Nothobranchius furzeri: one gene and its partners. The protein of the gene in region 3 binds, or shares a complex with, the protein of the main gene of each other region. Links are inferred from orthologs where the notes say so. Each region holds a gene or a part of one and is shown on either strand. Other genes may lie near its edges.

Evidence for each region.
Region 1: the proteins of upf2 (region 3) and upf1 are in contact, whole or in part, in a crystal structure (PDB 2WJV), measured with the Homo sapiens proteins. The link is inferred for Nothobranchius furzeri from reciprocal best matches to the Homo sapiens genes UPF2 and UPF1. Residues at the interface, in NP_056357.1 of Homo sapiens: Val1105, Cys1107, Glu1109, Asp1110, Phe1113, Ile1114, Ala1116, Leu1117, Met1120, Met1121, Asn1124, Leu1125, Arg1128, Met1169, Pro1170, Phe1171, Val1172, Met1173, Leu1174, Thr1175, Gln1181, Lys1184, Leu1186, Asn1187, Val1188, Pro1189, Ser1192, Gln1193, Leu1194, Asn1197; in NP_001284478.1 of Homo sapiens: Asn150, Thr151, Ser152, Gly153, Val157, Asn158, Leu160, Val161, Arg162, Lys164, Lys166, Pro175, Leu176, Gly177, Thr179, Tyr184, Cys188, Asn190, Val191, Phe192, Leu193, Phe196, Pro198, Asp202, Ser203, Val204, Val205, Val206, Leu207, Cys209.
Region 2: the proteins of upf2 (region 3) and upf3b are in contact, whole or in part, in a crystal structure (PDB 7NWU), measured with the Homo sapiens proteins. The link is inferred for Nothobranchius furzeri from reciprocal best matches to the Homo sapiens genes UPF2 and UPF3B. Residues at the interface, in NP_056357.1 of Homo sapiens: Lys767, Arg768, Pro769, Pro770, Leu771, Glu773, Tyr774, Lys777, Lys790, Arg793, Gln794, Arg796, Lys797, Leu798, Pro799, Trp800, Gln801, Cys811, Ile814, Asn815, Trp817, Tyr837, Gln838, Glu839, Asp840, Ile843, His844, Val846, Asp847, Gly848; in NP_542199.1 of Homo sapiens: Lys52, Arg56, Arg57, Tyr79, Glu81, Phe83, Asn85, Asp86, Thr87, Ser88, Leu89, Tyr90, His92, Tyr94, Arg96, Tyr98, Ile130, Glu132, Pro135, Phe136, Lys138, Ala139, Ala140, Arg147, Asp148, Lys150, Val151, Gly152, Thr153, Ile154.

What each region holds. Positions count from the first base shown.
Region 1 is NC_091748.1:65,897,936-65,901,582, reverse strand, and holds part of upf1 (regulator of nonsense transcripts 1), read right to left. Parts: intron 3,484-3,647; coding exon 3,327-3,483; intron 1,502-3,326; coding exon 1,359-1,501; intron 1,071-1,358; coding exon 896-1,070; intron 766-895; coding exon 684-765; intron 596-683; coding exon 431-595; intron 1-430. UniProt on the Homo sapiens protein: RNA-dependent helicase required for nonsense-mediated decay (NMD) of aberrant mRNAs containing premature stop codons and modulates the expression level of normal mRNAs.
Region 2 is NC_091741.1:85,713,630-85,717,989, reverse strand, and holds the start of upf3b (regulator of nonsense transcripts 3B), read right to left. Parts: upstream 2,897-4,360; 5' UTR 2,771-2,896; coding exon 2,660-2,770; intron 2,437-2,659; coding exon 2,330-2,436; intron 2,254-2,329; coding exon 2,147-2,253; intron 2,060-2,146; coding exon 1,961-2,059; intron 1,815-1,960; coding exon 1,704-1,814; intron 1,355-1,703; coding exon 1,311-1,354; intron 1,217-1,310; coding exon 1,028-1,216; intron 955-1,027; coding exon 803-954; intron 717-802; coding exon 410-716; intron 319-409; coding exon 175-318; 3' UTR 1-174. UniProt on the Homo sapiens protein: Involved in nonsense-mediated decay (NMD) of mRNAs containing premature stop codons by associating with the nuclear exon junction complex (EJC) and serving as link between the EJC core and NMD machinery.
Region 3 is NC_091741.1:38,118,501-38,122,147, forward strand, and holds part of upf2 (regulator of nonsense transcripts 2), read left to right. Parts: coding exon 1-142; intron 143-1,090; coding exon 1,091-1,366; intron 1,367-1,463; coding exon 1,464-1,647; intron 1,648-3,647. UniProt on the Homo sapiens protein: Involved in nonsense-mediated decay (NMD) of mRNAs containing premature stop codons by associating with the nuclear exon junction complex (EJC).

The DNA of each region.
Region 1 (3,647 bases), on a different chromosome or scaffold from region 3:
CACCTCTTACATCAGGAAGAATCCGCGTGTTTTGAGCTTTATCTGTTCTTTCATAATCCGTTGTCGAATTGTGATCAGCAGAAGCTTTTCCAGTTCGCGCCTCGCTTTTTTTACAGCAGTGGCCCAAAACGATCTCCTAACACGTGGATTTTCTGCTCCCTGATCATGTGACGTACGCAGATGATCGGCTTTAGAGCTGGGATGTTTGTTCTCACGGTGCGGGGGCTCATTCCGATGCCCACACAGTAAAAAAAATGCAATTGATGACTTAATTTGTCAATGGCAGTGAATGAGTTAACGAACCCAACAACAGTTTAAGATTCTGTTTACTTTCCAAGTGAATTTCCAAGAATCATGATTAATTTTCTATTTTTATGACCGATAACCGTTTTTCTAACCTGCTGTGTGCATGAACTTAGCATGGCTGTACCTGCAGCGGGGCCATTGGTCTGACCCAAGTAGCTGGGTGGGGGCATCGGGGGCATCACCAGGTTAAAGGGTATGGGAATATTCATCGCAGCCATGTGACCAGGCCCGGCGCCAATCATCCCAATCTGGTCGTGGGTTTGAAAGTACATGTTGGACGGACGTCCAGCTGAAAGGGTTTTAACAACACGACAAGTTTGACATTTGCCAACAACCCACTGATGTGATCAAATACATAAGAAATAGTAACCAAATACCAGCACTGCTGCGGTCGTAGGCGGAGCCGGGGATGAGCGCCTCACGAGCATCATACATGGCAGTACTCATAAAGCGCCCTCCCTGAAAAACATGCATCATTTCAAACTGCTGCAGGCTTTGTTCAACGAAGCCGACAATAGAAATGACAAGTACCAACTATTTTACTCATTTAGGGCTTATTCATGTAGGATTAGTTTATAGTGCTACTTACAGGGTTGATGGTGTTGACCAGTTTACGAGGCTTGCTGAACTGCATCAGACTCTCCCGCAGGTTGTTCAGAGGTCCCTCCACCAGAACCTTCTGCTCCTTGTAATAGTTCAGCAGGTTGTTCCACAGAGGCTGCTTAGAGAGGGCTTTTGGGTTCCCCACAATGATCACCCCATACCTACACACACACACACACACACACACACACACACACACACACACACACACACACACACACACACACACACACACACACACACACACACACACACACACACACACACACACACACACACACACACACACACACACACACACACACACACACACAGACACACACACACACAAGAAAAAATACCAGGAAATATTGGAAATATCAAAAATTTAAAAATCAATAATGCAACGAATGAGTTGATGATTTGACGTTCAAATGTTATCCAGATTCATTCTAACTGAGTTTGTTTACTTTGCTCTGGTCAGCGCCACGTTGAGACGACGAGGGTCGTTCAGGAAACCAATGCCCTGGTGCTCGTTGGCACGAACGCAAGACAGGATGATAAAGTCCTTCTCTCTGCCCTGGAAGGCGTCCACACTGGCAATTTCCACTTGCTATGGGAAAAAAACCAATGAAAGGCGATTAAAGGAGAGAATGGACTGTAAGAGCAAAGGAACAAGTAAGTTTTACACCAGAGAAAGTGGCAACAGCTCAACAGAGGCCTTGTTCATAAAGCTAGCTTAAGCACAAAATGAGGTCTGAAAATGACGTAAATCATTCTCTACGCAAGCTTTGTGGTTAAGAGCATGACGGCAAAATATGTGCAACTTTAGGCCAACCTTTACCCTAGCATCAGTACATTTTGAAGATAGGAAACCAACAAGAACCTGCAAGATGGTAAAATGGTGAATTTCAGCCTCACGTAAGGTGCAGGTTAGCAAAACACTCAGGCTGCGCTCCGGAATGTCCTTCCAGACATTGGTAAGGGAATGATGTGCGCATGTGCAGCTTGATCGCGTTACATCGACTGACCAATCATAAACCTTTCTCTGTGGATCTCACTCGTTCAAAAAAAAAAACAAAGACAAAAACAGCTGTTTACAAGCAAAGTAAGTTCAAGACACAGTGAGCCACATCTGAGGTGGATTTATTTTTATCAGGACTACTGACTCTCACACGACCAGCGTGAGACACGTATCTAACCATCTTCATGTGCTCTCACACCACACCTCCAATTTCTCAGGTTGATAAATAACTATAGTCGATCTCTTTGAGCGACATGCTGCATCATGCTGCTGTACACACACCTCCGCCGGGACAGGACTAAATTATTATTACAGGTTGAGGAAGTTCACTACAACATAGTTTATATGTTTGCACCATACCGTATAGCTTTCCTTTGTTGTCAGCAGATGGAGTATTTGTTATTTCAAACGGGGTACGTACTGGGTAATCTTAATAAGTTAAACTTCAGCCTATACCCTTTAGTCATAAACTATGAATAAGTGTATTGGCTCTTTTACATGAGGAATCAGGAGGTGTTTGTGATTATCCTGTTTCTTTTTTTATTATTATTTTCCTCTGACTGTGCAATGTTATAATCAAATAAATAAAAAAAATCAAACTTAATTAAAGACCATCTTAAATAATCTTCAGTCAAAATAATTGTGATCATCATTTTTGCCACAATAAAGCAGCCCTAATATATTGTTGTAAAACATGACGCTACATTCAGAATACATATTAATGCCTTCATTGTCTGATAGCGCATGTTAATAAAACTATGAACTAAAACTCTGCACCGCAGCAAACCTGGCACTTGGATATCTCAGCTATCCCTCAGCACCTTAATGCAGCCGTTTTGGGATGGAATCAATGATTATCGCCGTTTTCCTCTTTGCCTCCATCTGACCATTGTGTTTTAATGCTTATTTATTTTTAATTTTTTTATGTCCACAGCAATTGCTCAGCGGCTCAACAGCTCACTGTTGCAACACTCTAGGCCAAACACCTTTTTGTGCCTATGTCACAAAAGTCTCTGTTGCTATGGTTACTACATGAAATGCGATCAATCAGCTGGCCTATTTATATCCAGAGTATTCAAAGTACTCTGCAATGACCATTTGTCAGAAGGTGTGGTATATAGGAGCTGGGATTTGATCCAAAAACACCTGGGCACATATCTAGGAAGAGTGGGATTTACAGAACAGAATTGTGTGCAGCTGTGCGTACGCAGTGTTTTATAAGTTGGATAGTTTGCATAAGTAAATTTGTTTTTTGCTGAGCTCGAGTAGTTTTAACAAGATTCTATGCAAAGTTTTATAAATGAGGCCTCAGGGTCTTTTACTGATGCATGAAGTTATAAACTACACTGTTTTACTAGTAGATTTGGCATTTCAAAGACCTGAGGTGATCTTGTAGTTTAGCAGAATCTGGTACCTGATAGAGTTTGGTGTGAAGTGAACCACTGAACTGCATGTACTGGACCAGGTATGAGCGCTGGCCCTCATAGGGGGTGATGATGCCGATCTGATCCGGTTTGGCTCCTGCTTTGAGCAACCTGGTCGTGATTTTCTCAACGTTGGCTGCCTCAGTCCTAAAAAAAACACACACCAGAATCAATTAAAATCCATTTTCTGTTGAACTTTAAAACACAAATAAAAACATTTGAAAAGATGAATAAAACAAACATTTTAATAAATGGAAAAGGAACAGCTTGACTTCAGAATCAAACTACATCTTCGTTGTGTTTAGCTAGGC
Region 2 (4,360 bases), about 48 Mb from region 3:
TCCTTCAGAAGGTGAATCGTTTCTTCTCCTAACACAGACCAAAGAGGATCACACCTCTGCCTCCGAAACTGGGAGCCCTGCTTAATCAGTGGAGCGCGTGGCTCCGAGACGCCATACTGCTGCTCGCAGGCCTGTCTCTTCACCTAACTCAAATGAACAAAAGCAGAGGTCTGCTCAGTCGTCTACTTTCTCAGCCACGTTCTTGCTCTCAGTATCTGGTTTTCTGTCGGCAGAGTTGGATTCTCTTCTGTCTGCTCCTGGTGTGGCACGGTGGCGGCTCCGGGCCCCTGGCTGGTAAAGCTGAATGGCGGGTCGGTCCTGTTGCAAATAATATAAATAAAATATTACAAAAGGAAAACAAACTCAGAAATTATTTGGCACAAGTGTGAGAAATAACTGGAGTCCGTACCTTATTCCGCAGTCGCTCCCTTTTGCTGCTCTCATCCTTTTTGTTCTCTTTGGCAGCCTTCTCCGTTTTCTCACCGCGAGGGGAATCTGCCATGTTTTCATTCCTCTTCTTCTCCAACGCCTTTTCTTTTTTAATCTCCTCTTCCCGCTTCCTGAACGTGTTCTCTCCATCATGCTGCTCCCTCCTCCTCCGTCTTTCCTCGTCCTGCCGTCTGAAGCGCTCCTTTTCCCTCTGCCGCCGCTCCTCCCGCTCTCTGTCTCGATCAAAGTCCCGCTCCCTGAATTCCTTTCTCCCACTTTCATCTCTTCTAAAAGGAAATCACAGCTGGAGTTAAATCAGTTAAATGTACAAACAAAAGTGCAAAATGCCAGGAAAAAAAGAACAAGAACTGACTTTCTTTCACGATCCTCCTTGTTCTCGATGTTATGTCTCCTCTTCAGATCACTGAATGACCGGACCTCTTTATGTGGCTTCTCTGGTTTCTTGGACTTCTCTTTAGGCTTTTCAGACTCTGCTTCATCATTTCTATCTGGTTTCTTCAGGAGCTGAATATAAAGACACAATCATCATGAGAAACTTGAAATTGACAGATGCATTTTTTTTTTTCACTGCACGAACCTTAATTTTTGGTTCTTCCTTAACGTGGTCCTTGTCTTTCTCCGGCAGTTTCTCAAGTCTTTTCATCTTCTCAGCCTCTTTCCGTTTTCTCCTCTCCTCCTCCCTCCACTTGCGACGCTCTTCGTCACGCAGGCGCTTGCGTTCAAGCTCCCTCCTTCGTCTCTCCTCTCTCTTTTCCTCCCTGATTCTCTGAAAGTTAAAATAGAAAGTTTGATGGATTCTTGCTAACATGCAGTTGAACCAATTTATCCTAAACACCAAAAAACGATTACCACATGCTTACCTGTTTATTCTTCAGGTAGTCCAACAAGGGCGTGGTCTTTTTAGCTAAAAGAAAGGGGAAGAAACCCACAATAAGAAATCTTGTCAAATGCAATGCTCCTGTTTACATACAAGCAGTTATAACAGTCCCATTTTTGGTTCTTTTTTAAACACAGATAAGGTTTTTCTTTACCTTGCTGACGTTTCGTTTACGGCTGCAAACATCTTCAGAGCTGACGCTGATGGTGGCGTCACTTCCTACACATCCACATCAGCGGCAGCTCTGAAGATGTTTGCAGCCGTAAACGAAACGTCAGCAAGGTAAAGAAAAACCTTATCTGTGTTTAAAAAAAGAACCAAAAATGGAATTTGAAGACAAACACAGCAAGTGATAACGGTGCTGTCATAAACAAACCTTCAAGTTCTTTTGATCTGGCCTCGATCTCCTCCAACAAGGTCTCAGGCGTAGATGTCAGCTTCTCTTCGTCTCCGTTGTAATATTCAAGAAATTTTTTATAATCAGGATCTGATAAAAACACAAACATGCTGAGCTATAGATTTTTATAGATAGATCTCAAAATAGATATGTTAGGGACGAACATGGAGTTTCTTCAAGCTTATTTCTTTTTATAACAGAGAAGATCAAAACCACCAGACAGTTTAAACCCTTGCCTTCAGTAATTGTTCCACACTTCGAGTCCTTCTTCTTACTTCTTTTCTTGGCTATCTTTTGAAACGGCGCAAACTCCACAATGGCTGGATACTCCTGTCCTGTTGAATGGCCAAACATAAACAAGGACAGTCTCAGGTCAACGCTCTGGAACACTTCACAGAAAACTGGGTGTGTGTTCTTGATACCTCTGTTGTCTATGAACACATATCCATCGAATCGATCTCTGAAGAGAACAATATCATCTTCATTTTTGAAACTGATGTAAGCCCTCGCGAAGAGATGGGGATACAGGCTAAAATGACCGGAAGTGCCATGTTAGACCAACACAATGAAGGAAATGCTAACAGTCATTTTACAGGTGAACTCACCTGGTGTCGTTTGAGAAAAACTCCATGTAGTCCACCTCTGGGAGAGGCTGCAGCTGCTCCTCTAACTCCTCTTTAGACAGACTTGGTGGTAATCGTCTGATTACAATCTACGAACACATTGTAAAAAGTTCACTACCTTAATTACTAAGCAGGGCTTTGTAAAATGAAATTTTGGTCCAGTCTTTAAATGTATAATTTCAATCGTAGAACATTTTATCTGAAAACAAAAACAAAACAAAAAAGTTAAACCATGCTTTTATTTAATAGAACTACACGAATCCAAAACTGACGTCTGTAGCAACATTAGCTGCTTTAGCTAGCAAGTTTTACCTTTGTCATGGCCTCTTTCTTTTCTTTTGACTTCTCAGTCTTTTCTCCATCTTCACACTTTAGCTCCACTTTTTTCTCCTTCGGTCGAGTGTTTTCTTTGTCTTCTTTCATAGCTGAACGTCTACAGAGATCCACAGCCTGCTCTCATCTCACTCAACAGACTTGTTTACTTTTCAGAGAGTTAGCCAGCTAGCAGCTAGATACTAACCGCTCGAAACTTCCTTTCTGACTACTGAAGCTGCATTTACAAGTTTTTACCAGGAGGTGGCGCTAAATACAAAGCAATTACACATTTAAAAAAAAATGTTTTTGGTAATTACTATTTTCGGTAATTACTGGTAATTATATTTTTGTTAATGTCCATTCTAAAATATTTTTCTATAGTAAATTTTTTTGTAGAGCTAGGGTTAAGTCTGATGTAAAGTTAAGATTGAGATATGTCTACTGTCCACTTAGTGACACTAGACATCTTTTTATTGGAAACATTGCATTGTTTCCCTATTTGTGTTTCAAATTTTCCTTGTTCGTTACTTTTATGTATTTGATTAATGTATTTTGTGATACGTTTATCCCACGACCCTGCATGGACTAACAGGTATAGAGAGTGGATGGATGATACTTTTATTTTATTTATCTTTTAATAGTATTACCAAATTGTATCTTTATCTGTTTATAAAGTTACTCTATCTATCTATCTATCTATCTATCTATCTATCTATCTATCTATCTATCTATCTATCTATCTATCTATCTATCTATCTATCTATCTATCTATCTATCTATCCATCCATCCATCCATCCATCCATCCATCCATCCATCCATCCATCCATCCATCCATCCATCCATCCATCCATCCATCCATCCATCCATCCATCCATCCATCCATCCATCCATCCATCCATCCATCCATCCATCCATCATCTAGTAAAGTAAGTAAGTAAATTTATTTATATAGCACTCATCAAAGACAGAAAACCACAGTGCTTCACATAGATCAAAACAAAACAAATCATAAAGTCATAAAATCATAATGATCTTAAAAAAAGATTAAAACAGAAAAGTTAAGTCATTAAATGATAAAATACCATAAAACAGATGAAAGATGATTTCTAATTTTGAGTTAAAAATAAGAAAATAAAAGATTTAGGTAAAAGTAGCTTTAAATAAAAGGGTCTTTAGCTGTTTTTTTAAAAGTGTCTAAACTGTCAATGCTACATAAAGATAAAGGAAGATCATTCCAGAGTCGGGGTGCAACAGTCTGGAAGGAGCTATCCCCTCGACTTTTATATCTGGTCTTTGGAACATCTGGAACGTTCTGGTGAGTGGACCTGAGGGCTCGGATTGGAGCATAAGGCTTTAACAGTTCAGTAATATAGGGCGGAGCTTGACCATGTAGAGCATTGAAAGTTGTCGTCGTCGTCTTCCTCCGCTTATCCGGGTCCGGGTCGCGGGGGCAGCATCCCAACTAGGGAGCTCCAGGCCGTCCTCTCCCCGGCCTTGTCCACCAGCTCCTCCGGCAGGACCCCAAGGCGTTCCCGGACCAGATTGGAGATGTAACCTCTCCAACGTGTCCTGGGTCGACTCGGGGGCCTTCTACCGGCAGGACATGCCCGAAACACCTCCCCGGGGAGGCGTCCAGGAGGCATCCTGACCAGATGCCCAAACCACCTCAACTGGCTCCTTTCGATCCGGAGGAGCAG
Region 3 (3,647 bases):
TTGCATGATCAACATCTGGAACGTCAAGTACAACAGCATCCACTGTGTGGCCAACCTGCTGGCTGGCCTGGTGGCCTACCAGGAGGACGTGGGCATCCACGTGGTGGACGGTGTGCTGGAGGACATCCGGCTTGGCATGGAGGTAAAAACCCAGCTGGACAAACTTCTGACCTTCACCAGACTGACTTTATTTTAAAGGTTTATGATTTTCTCCAACGGGACCTTTAAAACCCGAGCTCGAGCTGGAATGTGCTGGCAGCAGATCGGCTGATCAAACCGGTGCACACACAGTTCTGCTTTGTGCACATTTTCTAAGAACTGTGTCATCTACCTGCTTGAACCGTCCCTCCTGCGGCTCACTCCCATCGTAAACACGGAGCCTCGTCTTCTGCTGGAGGTGTGGAAGCACCTGAGATCAGAAGAGTCCGATAAAGGATTTCTAAATCGTTCGCTGTAATCTCCTAATTTTAATAATCTAGGACTATAGAACGTCCGTCGTTTAGCGGTAGTTTGTTGTTGTTTCTTGTTTTATAAACAGGAAAACAGCTTCAAACACTTTCTGATCCTTACGTTGGGTCCAGAAACCATCTGCAGAGGTGAAGTTCAGCTCCAGCATGCAGAGCGTGCAGCACGTCCTGCCCAGTGAGAGGAAAGGAAAACATACTTTGTGTGTGTGTGTGTGTGTGTGTGTGTGTGTGTGTGTGTGTGTGTGTGTGTGTGTGTGTAGCGTGTGGCGCCACTGCTGTTAGACCTGAAATCAGCGGCGTGTTGCAGGATCGTTTTCAAGCTCTACGAGTTCAAATGGAGCCGTTAATTTTTCCACAAATGCACAAAGATTCACCTGCATGCGTTAGAATCTAGTCCAGTGTTTCTGACTAGGATCTTTAATATTTAAACTCTGAAATGCGTAAAAACTAATGATGAAAATGATAAATATCTTAGTCTGATGCTGAGAAATGATGGATTTAGGTTGTTTTGATCAACTCTGGAAGATGACATCATCTCTAACATCACAGGTTCTTCGGGACATTTATTTAAAGCTTTTGTTGTTTGGTCGTTTATCTGATGACCGCCTGTCTGTCGGTTCCAGGTCAACCAGCCAAAGTTTAACCAGCGGCGCATCAGCAGCGCCAAGTTCCTGGGCGAGCTCTACAACTACCGCATGGTGGAGTCCGCGGTCATATTCCGCACCCTCTTCTCTTTCATCTACTTCGGGGTGAACCAGGACGGAAGCCCCAGCCTTCTGGATCCTCCGGAGCACCTGTTCCGGATCCGCCTGGTCTGCACCCTGCTCGATACCTGTGGCCAGTACTTTGATCGCGGCTCCAGCAAGAAGAAGCTGGACTGTTTCCTCGTCTACTTCCAGGTATGTCTGATCCATGAAGCTCGTCGTCTCTCGGCTTTACCATGAGAGTTTACAGAATCAGTGAAACGTTGTTTTGTGTGTGTGTGTGTGTGTGCAGAGGTACATCTGGTGGAAGAAGAGCCTGGATATTTGGACCAAGGACCACCCATTCCCCATTGACATCGACTATATGATCAGTGACACGCTGGAGCTCCTCAGGCCCAAGATGAGGCTCAGCTGCTCCATGGAGGAGGCCACCAAGCAGGTCACCGACCTGGAGAGGGAGGTGCTCGTCAAACTAGGTAAAGCAGGGTGTCCGCGGGGTTTTAAAAAGTATTAAAAAGTGATAAATAAAAATAGTCAAATTTAAGGCCATTAAAAGTGTTAAATTTGGTCTCAGAGGTATTATTTTTTCCAAATTAGGTATTATTTTTTTCAGACTATCAGATGTCGTATTCTGAACATCGACATAGAAATATATTCCGAATGAAATGTGTTGAACGATCATAAAAACAAAACAAGCCGATTATTTGCTCCTCCCACTTGCGCTGCCTTGAGTAGCAAATGAAGCGCTCCTCACAATGTTGCCAACTTGTCGACTTTGACGCTATTTCTAGCAGCTTCTCAGATCACCTTCTTGACTTTTTAAATCTTAAAAGTACCTAGCGAACACCTCAGAAACATCTCTGGTAACCCTTAGCTACTTTCTGGATAACTGTCGTCGACATTTCCTGCAGGTTAGCTAAACACTCCGCCTGCGCTCCGGACCGTTCTTCAGGACATTAGGAAAGGGAATGATGTAGTGATGTGTCGGTCGCTACAGAAATGGCTCTCGGAGCCGGCTCCTTGTTGGATTAACCAGAGTGAGTGACACACACACCGCACCTGCGGGCTCCTGAGCCGCTAAAAACGGCTAAATGTGCGGCGTGCTAAACACACGTGCAGCTTGCCCCAATTGCTGTGAGACCGGGTTGGGGGGTGGGGGGTGCAGCTGTGGTTGGGACAATTATTACATTAACTGATGGACTTGTAAATAAATAGTTTATAAATAAGGTAGAAATAATTTCCTCACGCTGATAAATAATAACTAACCTCTCTGAGGACACGGTGCTAGTGCACGCTCCTACAGCACCTTGACACGACTCAGTAAATGTTATGTAACATTTTGTGAACATCAATTTATTTGCATTTATTTGTTATAAATGCCACTGTATAATTCTTGCTGTCAGTATTTGCAAGATATTGGTGTTTGGGTCTGTACTGGTTAGACTTGAATGAGTTAAACCAAGGTCTACAGCCCGTGGGTCATAAACTATGAGGTATAAGTATATTGGTCTTTTTATACTGGGAATCAGGAGTTATTTTAGTGATCATATTTTTTCTTATTTATTTTTGTCCTGATTGTGCCCTGAGCAATTTTATGACTGAATCAAAATAAAAAAATAAAAATCAACATAAATTGAAAAATCGTCTTAAATAATCGAGATCTCAATTTCAGTCACAATAATCGTGATTATTGTTTTTAACATAATCGAGCAGCCCTACTTTAGCATATCCGGTCACATAATGATGACGTCATATTCAGTGGTCGTTCTGCATCATTTCAGGCCTCGTGGTCAACTGTCTGAACCGCTGAACAGAAGTGCCTGGCTTATTTTCTAAGTAAAATAAATATGTGCAATACGTTGTCAACATCAGTGAGTCTCTAAGTCTATTCTTTTTGAATGTTATATATGTTAAAATATGTGTAAATAGGTCGCTGATTAACACTTGCAATTTAGTGTTGTGATGGTTTTAAAAAAATTCTGAAGGTAGTAAAAAAAAGTATTAAAAAGTAGTAAATTTTACTTAAGGATTGCTGTATATACCCTGTAAAGATGAGTTTCAGCTGCCGGAAATCGTTCGTCTACATAGAGTGATGGGTGTTAGAGCAGCAGCCAGTTTCACGGGTTTGTTGGGTCCCGGTCGTCCCTGCAGAGCAGCATTCCTCGGAGTGTGGGAGTGCACGCCACCCACAACCCAACACACACATACACACACTCTTACCCAAAAACCCGTCAGCTCAGAGCACGTTCATTAAATTTAATGACAGCTTTTGTCTCTGACTCGAGTTTGTTTCAGGTAAATGAAACAGATCTGACTCATCAAACACGCATTTCTATTCAATTCAAGTTTATTTATAAAGCGTTAAATCAGGACCAGAGTCGTCTCAAGGACCTTCACACAGTAAACATTCCAGTACAGGTCAGGTCATTAAGCCAATCAGTAACAAGGTTCCTATATAAGGAACCCAGCAGGTCGC